3 linked regions of the Drosophila melanogaster genome follow. The protein of the gene in region 2 interacts with the protein of the main gene of each other region in a pairwise test. Each region holds a gene or a part of one and is shown on either strand. Other genes may lie near its edges.

Region 1 (7,484 bases), about 13 Mb from region 2:
GCCGCGCGCACACATATCTCTTTATGGACAGGGAACGGAGGAGCAGCAGAGGCAGCAGGCGGCACGGCACAGCACAGCAACAAACCAAACCAAGCCAAAGCGAAAAACCGGTTTATCAACATGAAACGACAAGGCGGACGATAACAGAGTGGCGGCAAAAAGAGGAAAGTCAGCGCGCTAAAGAGCCGCTGGCGAACTCGGTGTGTGCCTCGGTTCTTTTTTCCACTCGATTTTATTTTCATTTCTTTTTCTCGTTTTTGCCACAATTTCTTCCTGCCTGAAAGCCATGTTCGCTTAAATTGTTTGCTGTATGTGTGCGTTGTGTGTGTGTGTGTGTGTTGAGCAGCCTTAAAACACGTTTAAATAAGTCATGCGCATTTGTGGGCAACAACTTTTAAAGCACAGTTGAGATGCTGCTGCGGGGAAATGGTGAAAATGCTGCTCGAGGGTTGGGAAATCGACAACTGCAACTGGAAAATTCAAAGTGCAACTGCTCATGCGTCGTTGCTGCGACGACTGCCAGCGATTTTTCAACTTTAAGTCAGTCGTCGTCGGTGCTCGTAACTTGTTTACCCCACCCGCTCCCTTTTCTTTGTACTTTTGCCTGAATTAACGGCTGCTGCCGTTTTGTCGTGACGTTGCGTTCCCGCGCTTTTCCTGCCAGCAGCCCCCGTCCCCTCCACACCACGCTGGCTAACCATTTCAGCTTTCTGTTTCATGCATATGCACTTAAAGCCGGCTTTCAAGATGACGCCAAAAGCCTCGTGGCTCGCAGTAACTAAAGTGATGGCCATTCACATTAAGCGCGATATTAATGCCACAATATTTCGGCACTCGCAAATGCGATTTTTCAAGCCGGCGAAAGTTGTGGGTATGGGTATTCATACTCTTACATCATAAATCAGTTGCCCGCAATGCCATAAGTGAATTTATAGAATTTATAGATGGGAGTGTAGAAATGAAAATAGAACATGGAAAATGTAAGAAATTCAAACCAGAAATCGTTGAATTGCGAAAATATCTAAATGTTAAATACATTTTTTGCCAATAAGCTATAAAAAGTCAAACCATTTTTCAATAGAAAATCAGAGCATTGCGTTTTCCAAATTCCTTCCAATTTAAATTTGAGATTGTTTTAGCCAGATTATTCCACCTACAAGTATATAAACACACCGCATTAACTGGGTAAATTTCCGAATTGGCCATTTTCGCTGATATTCGGTTTTCGCGGTTGGAAAAGTGCAGATAACGCGATTACGAACGAGTTCGGACCTTCAGCAATAATTTAGCCATGGTATTTACTGTACTACCAAACGAAAGCACTTAAACTGTTTGCCTGACATTGGCCAATGTTTTCATTTGTCTATGTATGTAGTATGTATGCATGTAGGTGCCATTCTGCGTTGCTTTCCCATTGTTTTCCCTCGCCTTTTCTCGTATTTCCCACTTGTTTTTTGGTTTTTGTTGTCTTGTTTCGTTTTTTGTTGTTGTTGTTGTTGTTTTTTTTTTTTATAATATTGATTGGTGGTGCGCGCGGTCTGCGAATGACGCAAATCGAAAAACTGCAAGCCAGCATAGCCGAGTGGCAAGTGACCAGAAGTGGGAAAAAATCAAATGAAATACAATTTATATATATATATATATGTATATATTATTGCCTCGCACGCTTACGAATTGCTGATTCTGCGTTTTGCGGCTGCTTGGCTATTTCTATTTATTATTGTTGCCATATCGCTGCATCTGTTGTTTTGGACGAATTTGGCTGAGCCATCTGAAAGTGTGTGTTTTCTGTTTTCATTTGAAAAGTGCTTGCGCAGGAGTATAGCAGATATGGCGAAAGGTTTGCCATCAAACATGCAACGATTAGCTGGCCAAAATACATCTTTCCACCGCTGAATAGATGAAAGACATCCGAATTTGTAAACTATCATTCATTTTCAACAAATTTATAACTTGGACAATTTAGCTTTAAGGGTATTAGAGCCTGTACCATCAACCGAATTGCGTTGTATTTGCCTTTCAGATCGATAGAGATAGAGCGCAGAAAAAAAATACAAGAATATGAGGCACACATGGCTGCCATTGTGTTTCTGGTCGAATTTTAGTTCCTCGGACTTTTGTGTTTAAATTTAAACGTTTGCCTGCTATTTTGGTGGCTGCTTTCGCTTTGTTTTGCGCCCCGTGCACCACCAAGTGTGAAATTCTTTGGGCAGGTGTGCATTTTTTCACGCGCGCAGTCGGCGGCAAACACACAACAACAAACATTGCGCAAAAACACAGAGCATCAAACGGATTGGGGGGGGGGGTCGTACGAGGCGTGGCAGTGGGCGGCATCGCCTGGCATTGACAATAAATAACCGTTAGCTAGTGGGAGTGGGCAGCCCATACACAATCAAATTTATTATTTGCCAAAAAAGGGCAGTGACAAGAAGCGGAAAACGTTGTTGCGCCAAAAAAACTAGTAACAACAAATTCAGCAACATGTACAGTTATCGATGGACTATATATATAGAAAATTCCATGGCAATGCAAATATTGAAGTGGAAACGGGAAAAGCGGCTCTCTCTGCCACATATTTCCATATTTCTATTTATTCTATAGCGAAAACTACATTGGGTAGGAAGAATTCTTAACGACTGCAATACAAATTCAGTGGCTAATAACTATAAATTTAAGTGTTTTTATAAAGCAAATTCCTCAGCATTTCATTTTTGCCCAATGACGAACAATTAGCCAAAAATTTCATAACCGCAATTAACTTTAACTTTAAGGCAATCAATAATTTCAATTGTGCCTGCTGCTTTTAAGGGTTTGTAATCAGTCTAGATACCCCAAAAGTGCGCAAAAAGTTGCGGGGAATACAACAAATGACTAAACAACTAACAGTCGCTATAATTTGAACTCTTTATGTGGCAGAAGTTTGTCTGTATTTCCGTTTTTGGGCAAAAACAAAAACACCATTTGTAATCCTCTTCGGAGTTTTGAGCACTGCGAGCAATACCAACAACATTCCCGTTGCAAGTGCGGCAGTATGTGGCTGGGAGGGGAGAGGTTTAGGGAGGGGGGAGCCCAGAGTTGCTTGTCTGTCTGCCTCTTCATGTGTGCGTGTGTGTGTGTGTATGACGTATACGTTTGTATGTGTGTGATGGGTACAGGCACGTCGAACAGTGAAAGGGCGAACGAACAAGAGAGAAGAGAGAGAGCGATAGAGATAGAAGAAGCTATGACAAAAACACGACAAGCGCAAAAATTGTAAGAAAACTAGAAACAAGCATCAATTTGAATGGACATTCGTAAGTTGATCAAACTTTTTCACTTGGTTGTGTATTCAAATCGGCATAAACACACACAAACAAACAATCGCAACGGTTGTTGAGTAAGTGTGTGCGCTTGTAATTTGCAATCAATATGCGGGCGCAGGAAATAAAAGCTATTTATACTTTTAAAGCTTTAGTTCGCGAAGAAGAAACGATAAGCAGCACTTTCACCCTTTAAAGGCTTTTAATCCGAGCGAAAGAACGAAAACTCCCGGTTGAAATGTGTCAACATGAGGCTTTAGTTGGTTTTCAAACTCGTTGCTTTTGGCCTCTCCCTCCCACCCTTTCTCTTGCACTCGCGCTAGCTCGCTCTTTCTCTCTCTGTCGCACCAAATGTGGCGGCGGCAAAACAACAACGATGAGACAGCATGTTGCAGTGGCGTGGGCAAAAGGGGGGTGCTTGAGAAAAGGGGGACGTTGCGCAGTGAACCTTGCGTGTGTATTGTCACTAGGCGGGCGGAAAAAAATATAAATTACAAAGAGAGTGTATGTATCTGTGGCTGTGTGCGTGTGCGGGGAAATTATTGCACAATTTTATTTATGTTTTGCATAGAATATGGCAGGCATTGCTCTCTCTCTCTCTCTCTCACTCACTCACACACGCACTCACTCGACTTTTGCATTAAACCGCAACAATACTTGGTCATGTGTGTGTGCGTACCCACACACGCACACCCGCATCACCTATACAGGCAATAGCAGTTCCGCTTTAAAATTCATCAGAATTCTGCACGTTTAAATTTTTCTTGTACACGTTTATCGCACACTCACACACACGCACGCACACAGGCACAGGCGCACACTCGTTGCAAACGGAAAGGCAAATGGGAAATATATGGTGTAGTAATCCGTGGAAAAATCGCCGCTGCCGCGGATTTTCGATTGTGGTATTATTAAATAGCTGAAACGCAATCAGCGGCGCACAATTTGATTTTCAGCTCTCGTTTTCGCCTTTTTTTCTCTCGCTTATTCGCCTATTCCTTTGTGGCGGCGGCGACGGCGGCGTCGGTTTTCTTCTCTCTTTTCTTTTTCTTTTTTTGCGAGTTCACAATTGGGCAAGAAATTCACGTGCCAAAAACGCGGCCACACACAATTTTCGGGGACAAACACTTGGCGGCGGGTCTCATGCACCGTTGCCGACCACTTTTCACAAATTTTATGCACTTTTTGGGCAGTTTTCCCACAATTAATTTACCAGCAACGCGTCCAAATTCCACTCGCAGCTTTCAAAATGGCGGAATACGAACACGGCGGATTTTTAGGTTTTAGTACAGCAATGACGCTATGCGAACAGTGTGACCGCACACGGGTCGTTCGAAAATACCTCGGTGCGCGCAGGCAAACTGCAAGAATTATGGTATAGTTTGAAATGTTGGTATTGCAGAATTCCGACTTTCGACTTCCGTGAGTTTCAGTTGTATATGTTATGCGATTTCATTTATGGAAATTAATAAAAAACAACACTTAAATAAAATTACGTTACCTTATGTATTGTATTTTATTTGTGTGATTTATTATTTAGAATAATAAAAAAGTATTAATGGTATATATGATTATACCAAAAAAAAAACGATATTTAAGTACTTAATGCAGCCCTGAAGAAGTGTGACCGCTGATCAGCGAATCCAGAGAACGTGTTTATTTCAAAAACAAGACGACGGTCACACTGCTGTACCAATAACAAAGAACTCGTTTTTTCTACAAGTAACGGCCAGTTAATAGCTCTTACTAACTAAACAGACCGATTAGGGATCTCGCACAAAATGTCGGCCAGAAGAGCAACCCATGCAGGCAGCTGGTACACGGACTCGGGTGAGTAACAACCCAGCTGCGGCCCAGAAGATAACACAATCAATTATTGCATCGCCTATGGGTGTGGGATAAACGCATATGTATTGCACCTGTGCGTGTTTGCCTGTGTGTGTGTTTGTGTGCGGGTAATGAACCTTAGGGTGAACCAAAAATGTAACTACAGGTCACCAATTCAGAAGTTCTTTTCCGGATCCGAGCCAACCGCATTGCGAATCTCGTCCATGCGATCGTATGCGATTTCGGTGGCCCAGCACAGACGCTTCTCCAGCTCGCTGTTGCGCCGCCGCTGCTGACGCAGTGCATCCAGTCCGCGTTCCAACTGAGTGCATGCCTGGAAGAAGGTGCTCAGCTCGGGTATGTCGCCGAATTCGCCGGGATGCCGACGGAATCCCTGCGTGGCGTCCGTGGATAGCTTGTCCAGGCGATTTTGCAGGAAACGCTGGTCGAACATCATCTGAAGCTCTGCAGTCGTCGCTTTGCCCAACTCGTTGTTGGATTCGTTTAGGTGCAGGTCCCGTATGCGGTCCTTCAAGCCCGTGAAGCTAACCGACTCCAATTTCTCGCCAATGCCCTGGAAGAGTTCGTAGCTCTGCTTGAGCTCCAGCTGCATCTTCCGGACATCTTCGTCGATGCTTTTGGCCGCTTGCGATTCAAGGAAGTCGGCACGGGCACTGGCCTCCACGGGCGGAGCGTCATATCCTGATCTTAGCGAATAGCTCGAGGATGTGGAGACCGGATCCGATGGCTTCTCCTGGGCTCCACCTCCAGTTAAACGATCTTCAGATGATCTGGTACCCGACGACGAACTCTTTGTACTGCCAGCGGACGAGGAGGAGGCCTTACTATTGTTCTTCTTGGAACTCCTCGATTTTGCTTTCCTTGTTTTCCTTATGGGCCCGAAAATGGGCAGCGGATTGGGACTCAGGAGCAGTTCCTGTGACGCCTCCTTGTCGGAATCATCAGCAGCCCTGTTGTAGGATTATAAATGGATTGATTTTTTTCTTCTTTTATATATATATATATATATTGGGTAACTTGATAACTTACTCTTGAGATAATATAGCTGTAAGCTCGTTCCGAATGCGATTCATGAGCTCATCGCTTTGTTTTTCCTTATCAGTTTCCATCGCGGAATGTTCAACTAAAATTTAAATCAATATTTAATAACTTTATATCGCTGCTGTGATAAGTCTCGATTTAGTGAAAGTCTTATAAACCAGGAAATATTTGTTTGTTTGCTGCTAGGCAACGACTGGCCAACTATTTTCGTTGATTTCGAAACTGAAACCAATTCCTGAGCAGGGAATTATGGTTTACGATATTATTTATTCGTTAATAAATGTATTTACTTTGCTTTTCAGGCGCCGAGCTCTCGAGACAGTTGGATCGTTGGCTGGGTGCCGCAGATTTGTCCCATGGACCGGCTCGTGCCATCATTGCTCCGTAAGATTTAACCGAATTCTTGCAATAAGCACCATTGAACTTACTGATTGATATTCCACAGACATGCTGGATATACGTACTGTGGAGCCTGCGCTGCCTTTGCCTATCGCCAAGTTAGCCCAGTTGTCGTGTAAGAAGTTCACATTCGAGATTTCCGCGAAGACAATCCGGTTTTATTGAACCTTTGCTTGCAGCAAGCGAATCTTCATACTGGGTCCCTCGCATCATGTGCGTCTGCGTGGCTGCGCCTTATCCGTGGCGAAGAAGTACAGGACACCCCTCTATGATCTCAAAATTGATGCTCAGAGTATGTCGATTGCAAATACAAGGTGCATTGCATGTTTTATTGATTTCATTTATTATTTATATTTAGTCAACTCTGAGCTTGAGAAGACTGGAAAGTTTTCTTGGATGGACATGAAGACTGACGAGGATGAACACTCCATCGAGATGCATTTACCCTACATTGCCAAAGTGATGGAGGAGTAAGTGGATTTGAATATATGCTCGAGGCGTTTTACTAAGTAATAGCACTGCTGCAGCTACAAGGATCAGTTCACCATTGTGCCTATTCTGGTGGGTTCGCTCAATCCCGAACAGGAGGCGCAGTACGGCAGCCTGCTGTCCTCGTATCTGATGGACCCCACCAATCTGTTTGTGATATCTTCCGACTTTTGCCACTGGGGCCATCGCTTCAGCTATACCTACTATGACAGCTCCTGCGGAGCGATTCACAAGTCCATCGAGAAGCTGGACAAGCAGGGCATGGACATCATTGAGTCGCTCAATCCGCACTCCTTCACCGAGTACTTGCGCAAGTACAACAATACGATATGCGGACGCCATCCCATCGGAGTAATGCTAGGCGCCGTGAAGGCACTGCAGGATCAGGGCTACGACAAGATGAGTTTC
Region 2 (5,937 bases):
ACGGAGAGTGGAGCGGTCACCGGCAAGACTTCCTTTTCTGCTGGCTGGATCTGATTGAGGCGCTGTCCCAGGTGGGTCATTAGCTGAGTGCCTAGGCTGACATTCATGCCGGGCAGCTGGGAGAGTGAACGGGAGACCTCATTGACGGCATGGATGTAGCCGGAACGGAAGCCCTCCGCCGGAGTCAAGCTCTCATCGCCGGAAGCCCGCTTGTGCTGACGCTGCTGCTTCATCTTTTGCAAATGGGTGACGGTAAGTTCCAGGATATCGGCTTTCTCCAAACGGGTGACGTGCTCGCCCTCGGACTCCAAGGTGGCAACCATAAGATCCTTTAGCTCGTCCAGGCACTTGTTGATTCTGGCACGACGCTTCCTCTCCAGCATGGGCTTCATCACCTTGCGGTACTGATAGGTCTTGGACATCTCGGACATTTGTAGCGACGACATTTTGTGTGTTTCTTATTGTTCTTTTTGTAGTTTCGATGTAAGCTGAGTTCTTTGAGCTCTTGCTGCTCCGACAGTCGAAGTCGTTGTGTGTTGCTAGACCTTCGGTGATCGGCCTTATATAGCTGGCCAGAAACAACCCCCAAAAAATGGGCCAAAGGGATCGTCGTCGTCGTCGTGTGTGCTGGCATTCGAGGAGCAAAAGGGACGGGGACACGCTTCGTGTGCTGGCATGAGGGTTGCTCGGTACCGACCCTTCCGCTTCTTGAGACCGCTCCTTATTGTTCGGGCGATTTCTTATTGTTGGCCCCGGCACCCTTATCAAACGGGCCAGGGAGCAGGATCGCTGCCAGGATCGTGGGAAACACTTTCCTACTCGGTTTCTCACATCGACTCGCTCACCTGCCCGCAAAAAGCAGCCGAGCATGGCCACGGCCATGGGCATGGGAATTTGCAGAGCGAACAGCTGCCGTTTCTAGATTTGTGTGTTATGATTTGACTATGGCATGGCAGGGTGAGGGGCATAAGGATAATGAACTGCTTGCATTATGCCATCTCATCGGGGTCCTCCGGGGTTCCCACGATAGCGGGGACCTCCGCCGGGGGATGGGGATAAGGATAAGGACGAGGCGTTGCGATTCCTCGACAACTTCCTGTTTACCGTTGGCATTCCAAATTGGATCGGGTTCGTGTTTGGTGGCAGAGGAAGGGACAAGGACAGAGGCATCCTGCACTTGTTGGTCGGCTGTTATGATCCTGTGGGAACATTGCTCGTGTGCGTCGAGTGCGCTTAATGCGTGTACGACTTCCCGATCCCCCCGACCCGGCAGGACCTCTGCCTCTCCCTCCATCCGCCATGTAAAAGGGGCCAGCGATGCTGATCCTGGAGCGCTGCTCGCGTGTGGCTCGCTGTGGACACACTTTCGGCTGTAAGTTGCTCGCGTTCCAGGACCTTTGTAATGGATGGATGGTTGGATGGGTGGTGCATTACAGGGATTTGTAAACGGAGTGGGGAGAGTTCAATTGACTTGAATTCAAGTGGACAGTATAACGGTATTTGGTATTTAGAATTATAAATTATTAAAATTCCAAGGAAAATATATATTTTCTATATATTTCAAATTAGATTTTAGAAATATATTTAAATATATCTGATATATCTTTTATATCGAAGAAAGCTAAATAAGAGCTTATAAATTATAATTATAATATAATAATTATATATATTATAACATTTTGTACCTATGTACCTATGGATTATAGCAACCTTGTTTATGTTCATATTCCAAATAATATAAAGCTTTTAAAATTTCAGTTTACGTTCATTTTATTATTCAAATGTTCATGGCTTATACTTAATGGTGTAAAGCGAAAAATATAATTTTAAAACATACACAAAAATTTGTTCTTAATGAGGCTAAGTGGAAGCTCGGTGGGGAAGCTCTTGCAAAGTTGATGAAATAAATTACAATGAATTAAATACATGAATCAGTAAGCCTATGGGAGATCAAATACAAAATACGAACTTAAGAACTATCACAGGAACATCACATCATATCAAATCAACTACCAACTAAATACGATTCTGAGGCAAATGTTTACACTAGACCTTGGAAAACTTGGATTGTTTCTTAATGAAACTGAGTAGTAAAGCTATCAATGTTAATTGGTTGCGTATATATGGAATGCCCTTCACCAGGGGCGCCAGACTTCTTCGCCATGATGAATATCCTCTTCTCGCGGAGACTTTGAACGTTTTTGGTCGGCTAGATTAACTGGTTCTTCGGCCATATCGATGATTTCTTCTTCCTGTTTCATGTCCTTGAGCTGGTGACCCAATTGCTTCATCAGGTGGGTGCCGAATTTGAGATCCAAGCCGGGAACCGTAGAGAATATGTGCGAGACCTCGTAGGCAGCCTGGGTGTATCCGGCCCGAAATTTGTCCAGGTTAACTTGGTCGGGTGGTGGGGATTGAGGATTGGCCACTCGCTGCTGCTGTTGCGCTTTCAGATAGTTGACGGTGAGCTCTAAGATGTCAGCTTTCTCCAGCTTGCTGACCTGTTCGCCCTGCGCATCCATGGTGTCCACGATGAGATCCTTGAGTTCGTCCAGATACAGGTTCATCCGGGCGCGTCTTTTGCGCTCCAGGAGGGGTTTGGTCACCTTGCGGTAATGCTGAGTCTTGGTCATAAATCTCTGACCCTGAACGGCCATTGTGTATAATGGGTTTTGATTTGGTGTGGTGATTGTTTGTAAATAAAGTTGCGATGTTGCGATGTCGCTGCTGCCGCTCCGCACTGCACGGTAGTCACTTGAGAAATGATCTTGCCGCAAGGTAAGCTGATCCTTTTTGTAGCTGCTGGTGCCGTACACTTGCGAAATCGAAATCCTCCCCTAACTGCCACCACGCACTGCGATCACAACGCTCCTACACGCCGACGATCACAACGAAGCATCAATCGGGTCACTCTCTGCTTGTGGCAAGATTCCCTCGGCGTTGCACGTGTGCAACATCAAAAAAATTGGATCGGGCGGAAGCCGCTGAGGCTCTCTTCTTGCACTGAAAACAATCCATATGTGGCAGAGAACAATTTTTAAAATCTATACTTTATATAAACTACTTTTAAAATATACAAGTTTCGAAGCATACTCTTTGGATGTCCATTCTGGAAACCAAAGTTTCTCATGCATCTAAAGTATCTTACAACGATAAGTATAAACAAAGAAAAAATAGTTTTATTGTACTTTAGAAACTTTTATATATTTAGAAATTAATTTATTTTTAATCAAAGCTTCTTTAACCTTGGTCATAATAGTAGAATGCCTTAAAGTTATTTTCAGTGTATTGACTAGGGTCCAATAACACGTTCTTCGGATCTTCGCCCGAGCTAGTAGCGCGCTCTCTTCGGGCGTCTCTCTTCCTCGTGCTGTTGCCGTGCGCCGGCGCAACAGTCTGAAGAAGGGTCTCCGAGGAAGAGCAGGAGGAAAGAGTCGGAGCAATCAACCACCACCACCAGCAGCGCACCACACGCACACACGACATCAGCAGCGACATGACCTCGACCTGCCTGGCAGCCATCCGTGCTCCCTGGTTCCCACTTCCCTCGAGAAAAGAGAGCCGAGCCCCATGCGTGCCGTCCTCACTTAAGCCAAAGAGCCAATCTTGTCGAGGCAATGCCATTGTTGCATATGGGTGTGGGTTTCTGCTTGTATGCGTGCAGGTGCACTGGAAAAAATGTTGTTTTGTAAACTGAAATATAATATTCAGAAATATGCAAAATGTGCATAAATAATATATTAAATTCTGTAACTAAACTATAATTTGCATTACTTTGCTTTAAAAGCAATGCAATCCCGAAGTCTTTATAAGCCATCTTTATAAGTTGCTAGTTTAGAGTTCGAATTTTCTTGCAGTGTGGCCTCTTCCCTTTTGGCGCACAGTCACACAGACCTCATTTCCTCTTTGGCGCGACATTGCGTTACACTTACGGGCACGGAGCACCATCATCAGCAGCAGAAGCAGCAGCAGCAACCACCGCAACAACCACCACCACCAACGGGACGGCAGCATAGCACCACCCAGGCAAGCGGCAAACAGCCGGTGCTGCGATGGGTCGGTCGGTGCATGTGCATCGTGAGAAAGTGTACTGGAGACATTCCCACAAGTATTGGGATTGTGCCGCACTTCTGCTGCCGGTTGCCCGGTTCCTCGGCCTCGGTCAGCTGTGACACTTGTTTGGCGCATTTTGCGAGATTGGGTATTCGGGGATAGGGCCATTGACGAAATCCACCTGCCCGAGGGTGAGTTCCAGTTCAAATCCAAGACCAGGGGTCGCTGCAATCGCAGCCATGAAATCGAGAAGTTAACAAACAGTGCAGCAAGGCACCGGCGACATTTGCTGACATCTGATGGCACTGATTTCGTACATTTCGTTTCCAGTTTTCTTCGTGGGGGAGGTTTCTGAGATCATCAGAGTGGCAATGTTTTGATATGGGTATTGGGACGACTTAAGGAAGACAGCCATATGCAAAAACAGGGATTTCAATTGCGCCAATTTCCATGAGGGAAAGATTTTAAGAGAGAGATTTCAATCTGTTGACAATGATGAATCATCCTACTTTTGAAAGTAGAAGAGGAGGATCAAGGATCATAAAACAAAAATTAAGAATCGTTCCGAATTTTAATCTTTCCCAATAAAAGAATCGTTCCGATACTCAATAAACATTTTAATTGAAAGTATATTCATTTGTTCGATATTGTTGTACATTGATAAATTTGGGACATTAACATTTCATAAATATCTTCAAGTGGCTGTAATTTACAAAGATACATATTCGTTTAATACACATATAGCAACACACACATATACATTTAGATTAATAATAATGTATAGAATCCAGTTCCATTTTTGCGCATCTAGTTTAAAAAAATGTTCTTGTTTAATGCGGATAACGCCAAATACAGTTTAAAATCCATGTGCTAGAAAGTAAGTGTAACGGACTAATTTGCTTCGTTTATTGTTTAATAAGAGGTACAAATGTGTAACGTTCGTAAGTTTTTATTTTGGTTCGATTCATTTCGCTTATCATTTCTATTTCGATTAAAATCTTTGTTGTGCTTAAAACTAAATTATATTTAAAGCGGACTGGGTCGTTTTAAGCTTATTATCGATTAGTTTTTGGTGTTTCGGAAATTTCTTGGAAAATGTGCTGATGAAATAAATTAGTAAGGACTAATGAGAGAGGTGAACTTGGTTTAAAAGTAAAATTATATAGAATAAAAAAAAAAAATAAATGCCATCAGATACATTTGCTGCGGGGAGATTCATCTATAATACAAAGTAATGCAAACGACATGTGCAACATGCCGTCTTCTTAAAGCTTTAAGTTATTCTTGTTCTTGTATTCGTTTCGTTTGATTTTGCCTTTAATCGCTTTCATGGTTAACTCCGTTTCGCCTGGTCGCGGTCATCCTTTGAGGAACTGGTGGACTTGGTGTGCCTAGTTGCAGTTGTGGGTTGCAAGCATTAAAATGTACAATCGGTAATCGTTTAAAAATATTTCCATTCGATATCTTCTTCTACGGTGCTTATAGTATCCTCGATCCACTCCCTTCTACACATACAAATATATACATTCTGTTTACATACATCAATACACGCGTTCATTTCCTTCTTTCGCATTCAGTGGTCATCGCTTCTGGACATTCTATACATACATACATACATATATATATAAATATTCTATGATTTTGTACGACATTCTGTGGGGGTTTTCACGTTCTCTAAAAGCACTTTTTAAGCAGATTTAGGAAACGCATTACTTTTGCGATAAGTGTGGTACGTCTAGTGCGCGGGTTTGTAGTTGTTATTCATGCAGCTGAAAGTAAGACAAAACTTGCATAAACATATCGAGGGAAGAACAAATTGGGGCGAAAGGATATTTGGGGCAAAGAAGCAGTGAAGATTATTCAATTTACTTAGACTTACTTCAA
Region 3 (6,797 bases), on a different chromosome or scaffold from region 2:
CATTCAGACTGAGTACAAGGTTGCCGGCCACATCGATGTCGAAGTCGTTGGGCAACATGGACGGATGCTGAGCCAGCTGGGCGTTCAGCTCGGACAACGAGTCCTGCACGTGGACGATGGTGCGGAAAACGGGATCCTGCAGAATGCCCAGAATGGTGCTAAGGCTCTCGGCCGTCTGCATTTGCAGCTTGGGGTCGTCGGACTCATCGATGCCCTTCTTCACTGCCTCGATCTGCTGAAGGGCGCTGGAAATATCCGCGCTGAGGTGCATCTTGCGTCAGTGGGCGTGGTCAGCGAGCGGTGCGCGGTGCGGTCAGTGGAGCGTGGTCCCCGTCTCTATCCCACTTCCGCTGGCGTTTCTATGGACTTCTGGGTGGGGGCGTTGTGGCGTTGGCACACTTTGTCCTAAACTGCAAAACGGGTAATTCGATTTGGGCTCTAAGTGGGACAGCTTCGGATCAGTTACTGTGCCGTTTGGATGCAGCGAGTTGTTTACCCTCTCCTATGCACTCTTTTCGGTGGCCACTTGCTCTGCTGCTGCTGCTGTAATTGATTTTTAATTATCTCTGAAATGGAATGCCAAATGCATTTTCTTTTCACAAACAGCTGATGGACAGGGTTGCCGAGCGGCTGCGTTGTGCATCGATAAGCAATCGACATAATCGGAACAGTTGCCACCTTTTCAAAATCAATTCAAATTCGACCGTTACATCTGCTAATTTAATTAAATCTAAGATTTTTGAATATAGTCTGCATGTGCTCGTATGTAATATGGCTATACGAAATAACCCAACAACATCTATCCTTTTAAACGCAAATTTTGAATTTAATTTCTCTGTACGCACAAATATCTGTGTTCCAAATACGGAAAAACAATAAGGTGTCTGCCATCAAACCATGTTACGTTCCTCCTCCTCCTCCAATTCTATTTCGAGCTTGCGGAATTCGCGGAAGAATTCGCGAGTGATATGCTTCATATGTGGAGTCAAGTACTTGGGAAAGATATCTGCAGAAGAAACAGAGAAACTATCAGAAACTATTGAAACCTCCAACAGAAAAGGAAAACCCACAATCAAATTCTATAATGAGATCCCCGAACTGCTCCACCTTCTTGTTGGCCTCCTTGATGGCCGTAACTGCATCCAAATTGCGGCACTTGGGGAGTCCCTCGAGGGGAACCACTTTGGTGTATCCCGGCTGCACTACGTCCGTAATGACCACCTTCAACTGGCGCCGGTCCAGCGTGCAAATGAAGAACGTGAAGCCGGTGAAGGCCTGGCACAGGCCAATAGACTGCCTGTAGACCAGGTCGTGTTGGTTTCTCCTCTCAAAGTCCGGATGCGGCTTGTCGGCGGCAATGAAAATAATATCACCCGGAATGGTGGCCGGATAGCGATCGCCCTCCTCCTTGAAGCAGAAGCGAGTTCCGGCCGTAGTTCCCGGGGCAATGTTCAGCTTTAAGGTGTGCTTGCGCTTCTCCAGCCGCGACTCCTTGGCGTCCACGATCTCCTGGCGCCACACGTTCATCAGCTTGACGCAGCCAGTGCGTACTTCCTCCAGCGACAGCTCGATGATCCTCTCCGTACTGGCGTCCTTGGAACGCACGCCAATGCCATGCTGGCGCGTAGCGTACAAGCTCGGTGGATTGGAGATCGCATCGATCACGTTGGCATACGGCGAGTAGCTACCGAAGACCCGCTCGTAGACCTTCATGTGGTCGCCGTCGTACTGATAGGGCGGAAAGTATCCGTTCGGCAGCATGACGCCCTCGAACAAACCCGCCTCGCCAAAGCGATCGTATATGGCCCGGTACAGATCGTTGCCCAGCACATCGAAGGCCATGTTGACGTAGGCCCACTGCCTGGGCTCGCCCATGGGTGAGAGGTGCGTGAGACGACCCTCCTGGGCCAGCGGCACAAAGTCCTGCTCGTCCTTCTTGTCGCGATGTGGGCAAAGCCGAATGGCCAGGCGGCGGTAGGCCAGAGTAATCTGCTCCTTGGTGGCGCCTCTGGGCTGATCCAGCACCGCGTAGTAGTCCAGCTCCGGCCGGTTCATTGTTTCTATTCGGAGTCGAAGCGTATAACAACTGGCAGAAGTGTTCACAGAATGTTTGACGTGTGACTGAGAATTTATTCAAATTATATACAATAACTCAACTGACGCAGGATCTGGCTATGGATGAAATATGCTTGTGGACAAATACATTAAGATTAGAGCTATGGTGTAGATGGAAACGTGGCGGCGATCAGTCAACGTCCTCGGTGCTGACGCCAGTGTAGATGGGCTCCTCCTTGGCTGCACTCTCTGATTTGGCATCGTCGGTCTTCTCCTCGCCACCGGCGACGTCATCCGAGTCATCTTCCTCCTTCTTGTCACCCTCCAAGTCAGCGGCATTGGGCACCCAGAGACCAGAGTCCACACAACGCTTCATGTGCAGCTTGGCGACGTCCACGGGCATGGCCGCAATGGTCTTCTGCAGCAGCTCTACGTCGCGGGACTCGAAACAGGCCTTTAGTTCCTGCGGAGCAAATACATGAAAAGTTAGTCAAGTAATTCCCATACAGTGAATCACTAGAACGTACATCGGGCAGGGATTCAAAGACATCGGCTGGGTCCAGACCACCAGGTCCGAGGCGCTCCTTGCGCTCCTCCTCTTCGGCCTGGGCTATCGCCTCCTGGATCTTCTCCTGCGCACGCTTCTGGATACGTCCTTTGAAACCTTCGATCTCGCTGTCGAACTGCGCGCGGTACTCGGGATGACAGTGCTGGATCTTTGAGAAGAAGGAGCTGACACAGGCGCGAGGATCCACGTCCAGCTGTTTGGCCAACTCTAGAATGTACTGCATGCAAATGCACTGATGCGCCACGTGGGCCATCAGCTCGTGCTTCTCCTCCATTTCCAGGTTGATGGACCAAATGACTAGGTAGTTGGCCGTCTCCTCGCCCACCAAGTGAAGATGCTCCTGCAGAAACCGCTTCGAATCGTCGTACTTGCGCAGCATGCCATACTGCTGGCAGAGCTTCTCGTTCTCCTTGACGAATTGCTTCATGCGCTGCTCTCGCTCTTCCTCGGACAGATTCTCATCCGGCTTGCGGCCGGCCTTCTTGTTGATTACGGTCTTCTCAAAGCCGGGCTTGCTGATGGTGTCCACGTTCCAGGGTGTTTTCTTTTCCTTCTTAATCATCTCGCTCTCGATGCGGTCCAGCTCTTTGCCCTCGGCCTCGATCTTTTCGAGCTCTTTCTGTAGGCGATACAAATTAGGGATTAAGCATTGCGATGAAAGATGGATGGCCACTTAGGATGATAGTCAATCATAAGCTTGACAATAAGAATAAATTAGATGGATTGAGAACATAGGGAACTCCCAGACCAGGCATTAGCCTAAGCAACAAGTGCGCAGTGCATTCGGTGCAATGACCCACCTTCAGGGCCTCCTCGTCGCCATCCTTCTTTGAGATCCGCTCCTTGACGTCCATGAGGCGCGCCTGGTAGCTCTGGCGCTTTTTCTTAAGCTCGTCCTTCTCGTGGTCCATCTCCGCCATGCGCTCCACGCGCGCCTGGTGCCGCCAGCGGAACAGAGAAGGCGTGTCTATGTTTGGGTGAGTGTCGTCCTCATCATCCGAAATCTAAAAGGTAGTGTGCCGATTAGGAGGACTTTTTGGGTTGGCACCCAGCAGTGGGCTCACCTCGATGTTCTTCCACTTGCTGTAGTCCACCATTTTGCTGTTTCTTTGCTTCGGATTTATATTTGAATGTAAATGCTGCAGGTTTTTGTTCTTTTTCGGCTGCTTCCTTTTTTTGGATTGCTCTGGAAATTAGTGTGACCGCAGGGCTATTGCGGAATAATACCATAATAAGCCCCGCTTACTCTGGGGCCGCGCTAGGAAATAGTAGTCATGCATGAGTGCACCAGATTGAATTGAAATACCCTGTCGTTTTTAATTTATTTACATCATCTACTACTACTCATCTACATCTACTAGAAAAATAATGAGATGACTAAGGCGCCAAAGCGACCAGAAAGAGAACTATGTTTATAATCGATTGACATCGATAGAAATCGCGATATTGATGTCAATGTTCTGCGCCAATCGGCCGACATATTGAAAAAAACTGCGGTCCCGTGAAATAGAGGCGCTCCGTGAAAATTACGAATAACTACTGCAAATCAATAGTTAAATTAACAAAGTAACTGTGAACAAATAGATTGCCATCAAAGTGTAAGTTTCTACATAGTTTTCGTCCGTAGCTCACTGTTAGTTGGGTTCAAAATGCAATTGAAATTCGGTGTGCGTGCAAAGTGAAAATTTTTCGGGTCAACGCCACACCCTCGAAGGCAACACAAAAATCCAATTAACGGGGCTAAAGTGAGAGAAAAGTCTTGGCCATAACTGAAAAGCTATGCTGTGCAATGTCACTGCTTGATTAGTAATAGAAATTTTGAATTTCTTTCAAAATTCTTGACTCCAATTGCAACTTAAGAAAAAGTATCTGGTGCTCCTGTTGTGCATGTGTGTGTGCGGTTACGCAGGAGTAGAGAACGCTGTGTGTGTGTACGTCATCGGGTGGTGGTGGTGGTGCGGCAACTTCAGATGAGAGAAAGCGGGAGAGCACACTCTCCCTCTCTTTGCTTGTTTGTGTTTCCAAGATATTTAAGTACGAATAAAAAAAAAGCAAAGTGCTTGCCTTACATATGCCAAAGTTTTGGGTGGGCAAGTGTCCTTGACTTTCTTGAAGGCCTGTGTTTGCATAGGATATTTTTGTTTGCTTGCCAGGCGATTCCGTGTTCGTAGTAGTCTTGCGTACCAGTTGATTTTTTGTGCCTCTTCATTGATTGCTCATAATTCCAAAGCGTACGCATTACGTCATCCTCTGCTATTTTCTGATAGACACTTCAATTAATGTTTCGCTCTCTCCGTCTCTTTCTATTCGCTCTCTTTTTGAGGTGCGATCTCTCGCAATTGCCGTTTCTGATGTTGTTTTTGTTTGCCACCGCGATAAACAGTTAAATTGGCCTGCCTGTGTGTTTGTATGTGAGCTCCAACATTGTATGGCTGCCAAGCCCTGGGCTGTTGCCATCTCCCTCTGATTTATTTCAATTTCCTGTGGCAAAGAGTGTTGTTTGTTTGTTTCTCTGCATGCTGACCCACCCTCTCCCCTAAATGATGTCATTGCTTGCTCTGCTGACCCCTTCTAAAGGGGCGATTTTGAAGTATTAAGTATTAAAATCCGGACATTCCACGGATTTCCTTATCGTTAGTGCTAATTGTATTTCATGTTACTCTATTGACAAAAATTCACTCCTTGGCTTTTCTCTATTAATCATTCTTGGCCAATCTTAACTATTTTACCTTCTGTGTAGTGTAGCTGAGAATTTCAGATATTTCTCTGCTTTTCTTATCTGAGTTGTTTTTTTTTTTTTTTTAGCACTAAAAATTGGAAACTATTAGAAATGTGATTTTATGGGCTATCAACTAAGTTTGGAAATTAAAATAAATGATATCTTATAAGAATTCATAGAAAATATTTATACTTTAACAACAAAAAATTGTTGATGCAATATTTAGATACTTTTAGAAACCTACTATTCTTTTATTGTTAAGGTTAATACCTTTACAAATTTGTTTAGCATACATGTGCGTTTTTCCAAACCTGACCTACAAATATATTCCTCATAATTTCCCGCCTAACTATAACCTTATTACAACTTTTAGTACAGGTGATGAAGTCATCACAACTCGTAGCATTTTACGTGTCGTTTACGTTGATTTAGTTTATTGTGTGAAAACATATTGTTTATACAGAAAAAAAAGAAAATCCTGCAACTTCAACCCATCCAAACAACTCTAAAAATAACTTAGAAAACGAAACCCACAAAAGCCGAGCCAACATTTCCCTTCTCTCCTCTTCCGTTGCAGGGAAACAAAAGGGAGAGAGGGATTGGAGGAGGGCCAAAGGTTGAAAATAGCTCGAGCTAAGGCACAGAAAATAGATCACCGGAACATGACTGCAGAGCTCAAAGCGTCAGATACAGAAATGACGAAGCCGGAAGAGAGGCATCTGCTGCAGCTGCTTGCGCAACTGGAGAAGGTGCCGCACCACCAGCTGGAGCAAAAGTTCGTCGCCTATTTTAAAAAGGTTGGCAAGGGTGATAACCAGAGTAACTGCACACTAGAGGACTTCGCCACCTACTTTTTAGGTGCACTGCGTCAAAGCACAAAGAGGTACTACTATTCGCAAAACTCGGAGACACCCGTGTTTCCCTTGACCCCCATCCATCAGCTCAAGCCGCCGGTCGCCGATGTGGTCAAGGAGGAGGAACAGCAGCAGCTCAATGAGTCCTCGATCCTTAGCCGGAGCAGCTGCAGTATGTCCTCCACTTCGAATACTACTCCGGCTCCCCAGCAGCCGCAGGGCAGAAGATCAACGCCAGGAAGTGGCGCCCAGTTTTGCAGCACGCCTAACAGAAGCGGCGGTGGGGGAGCAGGAGGAGGGCACAGCATCTGCTTGGGCAACTTTCTGGTCAATACACCTATCCAGAGCCATCAGCGATCTAAGAAGAAGATCACGCCCCAAAAACAGCAGCAAAATCAACATGCATCATTGGGTTCAGGAACTGGAGCTGGAGCCACGCCACAATCCAAGCCGCGGCGACGTGTCTTACCCATGACCATTAGCAAGAATGTTTCGGCCAGCTCCTCTTTCGGAGACACCAGTTCCTTTAGCAATGAAAATAACTTTTGGCGAATCTCGCAGAGCAGCGAAATCTTCGATAGAAGCCAAGAAGCAGCCCTGG

What was found. Proteins that work in one complex are often made in the same cells at the same time.
Region 1: the proteins of E(spl)mdelta-HLH (region 2) and CtBP interact in a two-hybrid assay, tested with the Drosophila melanogaster proteins (one study listed by BioGRID).
Region 3: the proteins of E(spl)mdelta-HLH (region 2) and Cdc37 interact in binary tests that used the Drosophila melanogaster proteins (3 or more experiments, as listed by UniProt).

The regions. Positions count from the first base shown.
Region 1 is NT_033777.3:13,008,777-13,016,260, reverse strand, and holds the start of CtBP (C-terminal binding protein), read right to left. Parts: upstream 4,613-7,484; 5' UTR 4,513-4,612; exon of another isoform or gene 4,089-4,512; intron 1-4,088. Other genes in the region: CG11656 (uncharacterized protein), read right to left, coding at 5,302-6,097, 6,177-6,256; CG8031 (uncharacterized protein), read left to right, coding at 5,081-5,129, 6,491-6,572, 6,634-6,702, 6,767-6,879, 6,946-7,057, 7,115-7,484. UniProt on the Drosophila melanogaster protein: Corepressor targeting diverse transcription regulators. Hairy-interacting protein required for embryonic segmentation and hairy-mediated transcriptional repression.
Region 2 is NT_033777.3:25,994,452-26,000,388, reverse strand, and holds E(spl)mdelta-HLH (enhancer of split mdelta, helix-loop-helix), read right to left. Parts: upstream 2,769-5,937; 5' UTR 2,658-2,768; coding exon 2,136-2,657; 3' UTR 1,756-2,135; downstream 1-1,755. Other genes in the region: E(spl)mgamma-HLH (enhancer of split mgamma, helix-loop-helix), read right to left, coding at 1-446; CG43116 (uncharacterized protein), read left to right, coding at 3,497-3,636, 3,858-4,215. UniProt on the Drosophila melanogaster protein: Transcriptional repressor of genes that require a bHLH protein for their transcription. May serve as a transcriptional regulator of the Achaete-scute complex (AS-C) genes. Contributes to the neural-epidermal lineage decision during early neurogenesis.
Region 3 is NT_037436.4:1,792,623-1,799,419, reverse strand, and holds Cdc37 (cell division cycle 37), read right to left. Parts: upstream 4,029-6,797; 5' UTR 3,721-4,028; coding exon 3,688-3,720; intron 3,628-3,687; coding exon 3,424-3,627; intron 3,243-3,423; coding exon 2,583-3,242; intron 2,567-2,582; exon of another isoform or gene 2,519-2,566; coding exon 2,246-2,518; 3' UTR 2,113-2,245; downstream 1-2,112. Other genes in the region: patj, read right to left, coding at 1-271; CG12020 (uncharacterized protein), read right to left, coding at 891-1,006, 1,071-2,055; dlt (discs lost), read left to right, coding at 6,005-6,797. UniProt on the Drosophila melanogaster protein: Co-chaperone that binds to numerous kinases and promotes their interaction with the Hsp90 complex, resulting in stabilization and promotion of their activity. Required for cytokinesis and chromosome segregation in mitosis and male meiosis.